Linked DNA regions of Xenopus tropicalis. The protein of the gene in region 2 purifies or fractionates together with the protein of the main gene of each other region. This does not show direct contact. Links are inferred from orthologs where the notes say so. Each region holds a gene or a part of one and is shown on either strand. Other genes may lie near its edges.

The links. Proteins that work in one complex are often made in the same cells at the same time.
Region 1: the proteins of ppm1g (region 2) and kpnb1 purify together in Homo sapiens (affinity purification with mass spectrometry; 3 studies listed by BioGRID and IntAct, with this or other methods). This does not show direct contact. The link is inferred for Xenopus tropicalis from reciprocal best matches to the Homo sapiens genes PPM1G and KPNB1.

The regions. Positions count from the first base shown.
Region 1 is NC_030686.2:10,833,997-10,839,068, reverse strand, and holds the start of kpnb1 (importin subunit beta-1), read left to right. Parts: upstream 1-1,518; 5' UTR 1,519-1,708; coding exon 1,709-1,748; intron 1,749-1,882; coding exon 1,883-1,941; intron 1,942-5,072.
Region 2 is NC_030681.2:162,046,709-162,050,436, forward strand, and holds part of ppm1g (protein phosphatase 1G), read right to left. Parts: intron 1,430-3,728; coding exon 1,301-1,429; intron 742-1,300; coding exon 507-741; intron 1-506.

The sequences.
Region 1 (5,072 bases), on a different chromosome or scaffold from region 2:
TTAGTCGCCCCGCGACAAATCTCCATTCTCACGGGCAACTAATCTCCCCATAATGCCATCCCACCGGTTAGAATGTAAATTGCTGGTGGGATGGCATACGTGGCGCCGCAATGTCGCCCGAAGTTTCCTCTCAAGGCGCGTCTAATCTACCTGTGTGTTACTGCCCTTAAGATCAGCAATGTCCAAACGTATTTTGAAGAAACATGACGGTAACGCACATTTTACTTTTCAGATTATTGACAGGCCATCTTTTCAGATAAGGATCTAGAGAGGAGACTGTTAAGGCAAGAGGCTTTTTGGATCTATAACTTGAATTCCCTGGAGTTCCAGGGTGGGATGAATAGGGAATGGGAGTTATCCTGTTTCTATTGAGAATTGTATAAATGGGGTTAACTTTTTGATTCTCCCTCCATTATATTTGGGTCCTCCTAACTATAAGTATTTCTATTTTGCTATCCTTATTTGTACTTCTTTTATGTATATTGTGTGGTGTGTAAGGGTTCATGTAGTCTATATCAGGGGGCTCAAACTCAATTTACCTGGGGGCCGCAGGAGGCAAAGTCAGGATGAGGCTGGGCCGCATAAGGGATTTCACAAAAAATTGGCTTTCAAGGGATAATGCAAGGCACGGCGGGAGCTGCTGATTGCGGAAATGACGTTATGCCATAACAGTTATTATGGGAAGATGTTCTGTGTGCACAATTAGCTCCTTAGCAGCTGTGCACACAGAATGTCTTCCCATAATAACTGTTATGATGGCATAATGTCATTTCCGCAATCAGCAGCTCCCGCCCGCCGTGCCTTGCATTATCCCTTGAATCGCAATAAAAATCGCGATCCATTCGTTGCTTTTGAGAAGGCGTTGGTGCGGGCCACAAAATACTGTACTGAGGGCCGCGAGTTTGAGACCCCTGGTCTATATAGTCCAACTAGTCTTTTGACTAGTTGGATTATATAAGCCCCTCCCACTTACGGGCTGATAATGCTTCTGAGGCCATGAAACGCGTTAAGCGTAGCTCCATGGCTGTACATATAGGTTTTTACATATAGGATTGAATAAAAATGACTGTTTTTTAATCCAGCTCTTTTTTTTGGTGCATTTTTTCTATTTCCTGCCACTAAACATCTGTCGTGGTTTGTACAAAGCCATCCAATGACTTGGGCTCAGTAAAGCTGCGCTGCTAGCACTACAGCCTGCCGAGCGGCGGCCACATGACTAAGCAGATTGGAAGCGCTAAACTTCTCTTTCAGCTGTTGAAAGACTACAACACCCAGAATGCCTTTGGGGAGCTCTAACCACAGCAGCAGTCGCCTTTTCCATTTCTACAATAAAATAAAAAGTATCGTACTTTTCAACTACCCTTCAGCTCGCCATAGTGTAATAATGACTCAGTACGGAAAGGGAACACTCTCACCCCACAGTGTGAGGACTTGGCTAATGGGCCCGCCCTTTCATTGGCTCTACCTAATAGGACGCACCCCCTCTCCCCCACAACCCTTAGCGGCACTCCTTAGGCGCAGCAAGTCCCCTCACAACAACCAATAGGTTTCCGGGACGTACAACTAGATCCGGCAGATATCCGTGCGCAGCAGAGCCACACCTCCTCAGCCCCATTCTTCCCTCTGACACAAGCGCGCTCGAATCCCTCCGCGCCACGCTTGCTCACTCCGGCAGCCCGCCTGAGCTCTGTGACCCGGCACCGCCCGCATGGAGCTCGTCACCATCCTCGAAAAGACCGTGTCTCCGGGTACGGGCGGCTGGTTATTGGGGGTATTATTGTGTGGGATAACAGTGAGGGGAGGGGGGCAGCAGGGAAATGCATGGGGATCCCCAATAGAGCGGCAGGGCCCTGAACCCATGTCTACCCTTCTTTTCCCTCAGACCGCAATGAGTTGGAGGCGGCGCAGAAGTTCCTGGAGCAAGCTGCAGTCGAGAATCTGGTGAGAAATGATAGAAGTTGGGCTTGAGAAGGAAGCCGGGTAGGGAGGCACCATGACAGCCACACGGAGCCTTAGGTTGGCCGTGCCGGCTCTCCCACTACATTAAACGCATGCAGGAAACAGCGACACTTATAAAAAGAGTCCCACTATCAAAGTAGCCACCAAGCTGGCAGGGGGCATGCTGGGAGTTTATTTGGACTTATTAGGCCTGGGGGGTAATCGTTCTCTGATAACCCCCGCAGCACATAGGAAGCCGGGAATTGCTGGGACTGCCACTGCCAGTAGGTCGCCAGCTGTTCTGAAATGGCTAGCGCTGTGGTGCCCGGCCAGGCCTCAGTGAAAAGCGCCAAGACTGGCGCAGCCTAACTTGCCCGCCACCCTGCGCTAGCCAATGGGGAGGCGCGGAGCCATTTAGCCGGGTCTAATTCGGCCAATGAGAAAGCGAGAAGAGGGAGCGGCGAGGGGGGCGGTGGTAAAGCACGTTGCGTTGCACAGCTATGTGGGGCTAATGGGGCTCCTTGTGGCATCGCATGATGTCGCATTTGGGCTGCTCTGTGCGTGTTGTGTGATTTTCCTGTGCTGACAAATTGCATTTTTTTGCAGTCCTTGGAGAATGTACAGAACTCAGTGTAGGTGCAGTGTGACATGCCACATTCCTGTCATTGTGAGCTTCCTTGTATTGCAATAAATGTCGTTAAACCCTGCAAACTAAATGCTTGCTTCCTGTTTCAAGGTATTCTCTAAGTACCAAATGTTTTGTATTGCTTTGCCATGAAGCTGACATGTTACTGTTTTCTTCAAAACTGACCTGCGCTTAAAGGAACAGTAACACCAAAAAAATGTATATATTTTCAAGAAATTAAACTATACTGTATTGCTGCCCTGGTAAAAATTGTATGTTTGCTTCAGAAACATTACTAGAGTTTATATAAACCCTGGTGTGTAGCCATGGGGGCAGCCATTCAAAAGAAGAAAAGGCACAGGTTATATAGCAGCTAACAGATAAACTCTGTAGAATACAATGGTGTCTTATCTGTTATTTGCTATGTAACCTGTGACTTTTTTCCAGCTTGAATGGCTGCCCCCAGGGCTACTCAGCAGTGTATTTATATAAAATATAGTAGTGTTCCTGAAGCAAACACCCGAGTTTTACTAGTGCAGGGCAACAGTACGTTATATTTCAATTACTTTAAAACACTTTCATTTTTTGGTGTTACTGTTCCTTTAAGTTTTTGAAATGTTAGGAAAGGATCTCGGGAAACAAGTGGTGCCAATGGCTGCCATCTTTACTTGGCAAAGACCAGGCTGGGGGTGGGGGGCAGGGTTTAATACAGGGGTGCACAAAAGGTAGATCACGGTCTACCGGTAGACCTCAAGGTGGAATGCAGTGGGATGACATCCCGCCACTTCCCCCCCCCCCCCCCCCAGCATACTGAAGCTTTCAAGTGCGACTGCTCAAGCCGTCTTTGTAGTTTCATCCCAGTATAGAAGATTGTCCCCACTGGGCCACTGTATATATTTGTTCCCACTTCATATATGTTTCTGTGTGCAGACTACAAAGTGGGCCATAAGGAAGGGAAGTAAAAACTACTACAATCCTTTCACATTAAACTTGAAGTTGGCACGTGAATAATGTTATGTGGGCATTAAATGTGAATTTGGCACTGCATTTATATATTGCTATGTGTATTTGTTAAACATCCATTGATATTTCTGTTGCTTATTGTGCCAAATGATAGACGTTGCACTATTTTAACTGTGGTAGAGCTCATGACTGAGGCCAGGTGGGAAGAGTAGATCACAGAGTGACAAAATCTGGGCACCACTGGTTTAATAGAACCATCATGTACCTTTCCTCATGCCAGAATTCATCTCTTACCTCCATGTCACTTTGTTTTTATAATAACAATCACTTAAAGTGGCCTTGCATAGGCTAAAAAAAAAAGCTACTGACTTTTAGATCAGTTTATCCACTTAGGGCAGTGGCACACGTGGAGATTAATTGGCCAGTGTCAAATCTCCCGGCAATGCCATCCCACTGGCTAGAATGTAAATCGCCGGTGGGATGGCATATGCGTCGCTGCAGTGTCCCAAAGTTTCCTTTCAAGACAATTTCGGCCGATTTCGGGACATTGCAGAAATGCGTATTCCATCCTGCCGGCGATTTACATTCTAGCTGGTGGGATGGCATTGCGGGGGATTAGTCGCCCATAACAATGAAGATTTGTCGCGGGGCGACTAATCTCACTGTGTCCCGCTGCCCTTCTTGGTCTGTATATGGTGTCCTCAAGAGACCTACCCAAATAAAGTTTTCCCTGAAAATTGTCCAGCATGTTGATGTCTCCTTAGGTCACACAGAATGATCCAATTTCTGGTCCCTTGTTGGATCAGCCAGTTAAATGTCTGACCTGCCCAATTGGCTACGAAAAATTAGAAGTGTTGTGTATGTTAAGTGAAAAGGTAGAGATTGGACAAAAGGTAGCGCTTATATAAGTCAGTCAGATAACTGCAAAACAAGTCTGTGCTGTATGGGCAGGATTCTATTTGAATAGCAAGATACTTTGCCTCATTTGACTGATTGTGCTAATGAGTGAATCTGCAGCGGTGTCCGCTCTATTCCAACAATCATCAGATTTTCTTCTGACAGAACAACTGGCCAGTACTTTAGGGGCTGCAAATAGGATGTTATTGGTCCTGTTTGAGTCTGTGTAGCTTAACTGACAGGGCATTATTTTTGATCTTAGTCTAGTCCTGCTGGCAAGGCTCCCTAAACACTGTTTGGGCAGTAATGTTGAAATTTTGATAAACCAGTGTGCCTGACCACAGTTTAAGAAGATGAGCACAGAGTGACACTTTTGTTGGTCAGTCAGAAGTTATTAGAGATGGTGGCTACTGTACTCTTGCAGTTTAGCACTTCTGTTAGTACATTAGTCCCAGAGACAGATTGCCTTCAAATAAAGGATCTGTAATCATAGTAACTTTAGATGAGGTTGGGAGGGGGGGGGGATGTGTCCATTACATTTAACCTTTATGAAAACCTGCCTAATTGCTAATTAATTAGAAGGCAAAGAAAACTATAGTGGATGTTTAATAAAGTTTTGAGATGTTTCGTTGCAATTCCACCAAAGTTT
Region 2 (3,728 bases):
TCTTGTTAGAGACTTGCAGTGATAACCAGTGTATATTTAGAATCCTTGCCAGAAAGCATGGCAGAGCTGCTGTAATGAGGAAAGAAGTAGGAATAGTGATATTATCAAAGGCAACACGTATGTCTCAAAGACCAGGGTCAGTATGGGTTACAAGCAAAGGAACCACGTGCCCACCGGCCATTAGTGTTACAGAGCTTGAATGCTAAGTGCACTAAAGGTGGCTCTACATGGGCCGATAAAAGCAGCTAATGGAGCCGGCGTCTTATTGGCTCATGTATGGTGCCATGGGGCCTGCCCGACCAATATCTGTCCAAAAATCGGTGGGTTTGATTTTTCTGTTGGCTCAAGGACTGTGTCTGCAGCACATCGATGCGGTGGTCCTGGTCCGGACAGGCTGCATAGCTTCACCGTGACCCAATTGTTTGGCCCTTGGATCAGCCCACCGGACAAATATATGATAACCTGGCCACTATATCCATACATGTATGGCCAGTCACCCTACTCACCAATTGCACGGGAAAGGTTCAGGCCGCCGTTCACCCTGCCGTCCATTGTGACCTTTCCCCCCGCGTTCTTGATCCGCGCCAGTTCCAGCTCATCCTCAGGTTTGTGGTCATAGGACATGTCCAGCGCTTTCCCTCCCTCAGAGACCACACATCGCGAGTCCCCAGCATTGGCGACAATCAGCTGCTTCCCTCGGATTAGTGCCACCACCGCAGTGGTGCCGCTGTCAGAGCCCGGCTGAGAGGAGGAGGAAGCCACAGGAAGGTTATTTTTGGCCCATCCATTCTGCCACCTCAAACAGAACCAAATGCTCCAAAGACTTCTAATGCTCATCCATGCAAGAATCATCCAGCCCTACTCGCCTTCAGACAGGTCTAATAACCAATAACTCCCAGCACTCATTTAGATGCCGGGGGAGCTGGCCGCCATTAAGGAGGTGCCGGGGGAGCTGGCCGCCATTAAGGAGGTGCCGGGGGAGCTGGCCGCCATTAAGGAGGTGCCGGGGGAGCTGGCCGCCATTAAGGAGGTGCCGGGGGAGCTGGCCGCCATTAAGGAGGTGCCGGGGGAGCTGGCCACCAATTGCTCGCTTTAGGATAAGTATGATGAAACAGCAGTAGGGGCTGTTCCTATCAGCAAGCAAACTGAACTGAAAAACCCCAGAGGGGGGCAGCTGAGGAGGCTCTCCGAGTGCACAAGGAATTACAGGGGTAGAACAGGTCGAGGGCCTATGCCTTATGGTGTTGGCTGCAGGAGAACACAAGGTACAGGCAGAGAATAGGGACTTAGCTTCACTTACCTCCTCTTTGCCTGCCATGCCAGGAAGCATCATTTCTTCATCCTCCTCCTCCTCTGCATCCTCACTGTCCTCTTCATCCTCTTCCTCATTCTCAGCTTCCTCGCTACTGTAGTCTTCCTCGCTGCACTCCTGCGGGACCATAGGTTAATAAGCCGTACCCATCTATATGACTGAATAGCAGCCTGCTGATAGGGTTTCTCCATAGGGAAGAGTTAAACCCCATTATTTATTTATTCAGCCAATAGAAACCAATGCTTAACAAGCCATGATCAGTTAGAAGCTGGCATTATCAGTTATTTATATATCAAATATGTTACACATCGGGCTGCGCACAGGAGCAGACACGGAAATTGGCGCTCCCGGGGTCAAAAATAAAAAACCCCCCTTACCAGCCCCTAGACACGAGCAGCACCGTGCAGGGAGGCTCGCCCGCTGGGTGTGATCGCGGAGGAGAACCGGCCGCGGCCTAGTAGCCCAGCTGAAGCCGCAGGCTAAATTTTAGCCGCACCCACTCGCGACTTCTGGGAGAGCCGGATCAGCGCCAAACGATCCGGAATCGGCGCCCAACCTGTGAGACTGCCATATAAGCCTGGGTGAGTGTGCCTGAGACCCCAGGGGCGTCACATACCGGCTCCAAGCCCATATACAGCTCCACACACAGCTGCAGACTGCTGCACCCTGCCATCAACCACTGCACACTGCTTATATTAGCAGAACCAATACTGAGTGCTGGAGATCTTAAGCAATCACATGGGCAGCTACATGCAACCTATACAACTACTTGGCATTTTGTAATTGACCAGAATCTAGACCTACCCCTCAGAATGGAGAATTGAGGGATAATATGTAATACTACCATCCAAAGAGCGCTCTCCAACTGTATATCCTAATATCCAACCCACAACCAACAGCAACACACCTTGTGGGAAACCAGCATCTGAATCATTAAGGCGGAAAATGGGGAAACAAAAACCAGATGCAGCGGCGAGGCTGGAGCGATTTGCACACACAGAACCGCAGGACTCCCAGCCCACCACAACTGGCGACTCAACCCCATCATCACCCCCTTTGCCAGAAATAGCAGCGGAGACTCCACAACCCTCGTCAAGCGAACTCCTGACGGCTATACTAGAAAGCCGAACAGCCGCTACAACACAACTGGAGGAAAATAAAGATAGATATTTCTCTCCTGCGCCACGACCTCCAAAACATTAGAGAGCGCACTACTGAAGCTGAGGCTAGAATTTCCACACTAGAGGACATGGTGACACCGCTCCCAAATGATATTACATTTATCAAACAACTGCTCCAGCAGGCGCTAGATAAAACAGACGACCTGGAAAATAGACTCCGCCGAAATAATGTCCGAATTGTGGGCCTACCAGAAAGGACAGCACCCCGAGACCTTCATAGAAAGCTGGCTTAAACAAACTCTTGGTAACGAAACCTTTTCTAGCGCATTTGTGGTTGAGAGAGCCCATAGGGTCCCCACCAAACCACATCCCCCAGGGGGCCCCCCAAGACCACTTCTCCTAAATATTCCAGAGGGGTCTCAATCCTAGTGAAGAGGTCAATCCCGTTTAACCTGATAACACTCAAAACGGACTATTATGGAAGGTTCATCATTGAACATTGCACTATAGCTAATTTTCCTCTAATTATAGTTAACCTATATATGCCACCTCCATTTACCATAACCACACTAGATACTATCAGTAAAAAATTAGCTGACCTCCCTACAGCTCCCACCTGCTATATGGGTGACTTTAATGCCTTAATGAACCCGCAAATAGATAAATTAAATCCTCCCTTTCCCACTGGGAACAAACTAATGTTGTGGACAAAAGCACTAGGACTCAGATGCGTGGAGATGGAAAAATCCTGACCAGAAAGTTTACTCCTGCCACTCCACTACCCATCACTCTCTCACAAGAATCGATCTAGCTCTAGTAACATCTGAACTCCTACCTAGGATAACAAAGATACAATACCTCCCTCGAGCCCTGTCCGATCACTCTCCCCTCTCCCTAAACATAATAGGTACCCCTCAAACTAATCTCTGGAGACTCAGTCCAATTTGGCTCAAGAACAACACTGTGCTAGAAAGTGCAACCGCAGCGGTAACTGAATACTGGGAGACAAATGAAGGATCAGCCTCTCCACAGATTGTATGGGAAGCATCAAAGGCATATATTAGAGGGCAACTCATTTGTGCCATTAAGAAAGCCAGAACAGAATCCAAAGCTCAAGTGGTAGAAGCTGAAAAAGACCAGGAAGAGGCAGAGTCGGCATACGCGGCCAATCCAAATCCAACCAATTACAGCAAATTGGTAAACTCCCACCATACCCTAGCTAGGGAACAAACTCTCCTCATACGTAAAGCTCAACTATATACACACCAACACATATTCGAAACTGGGGACAGGAG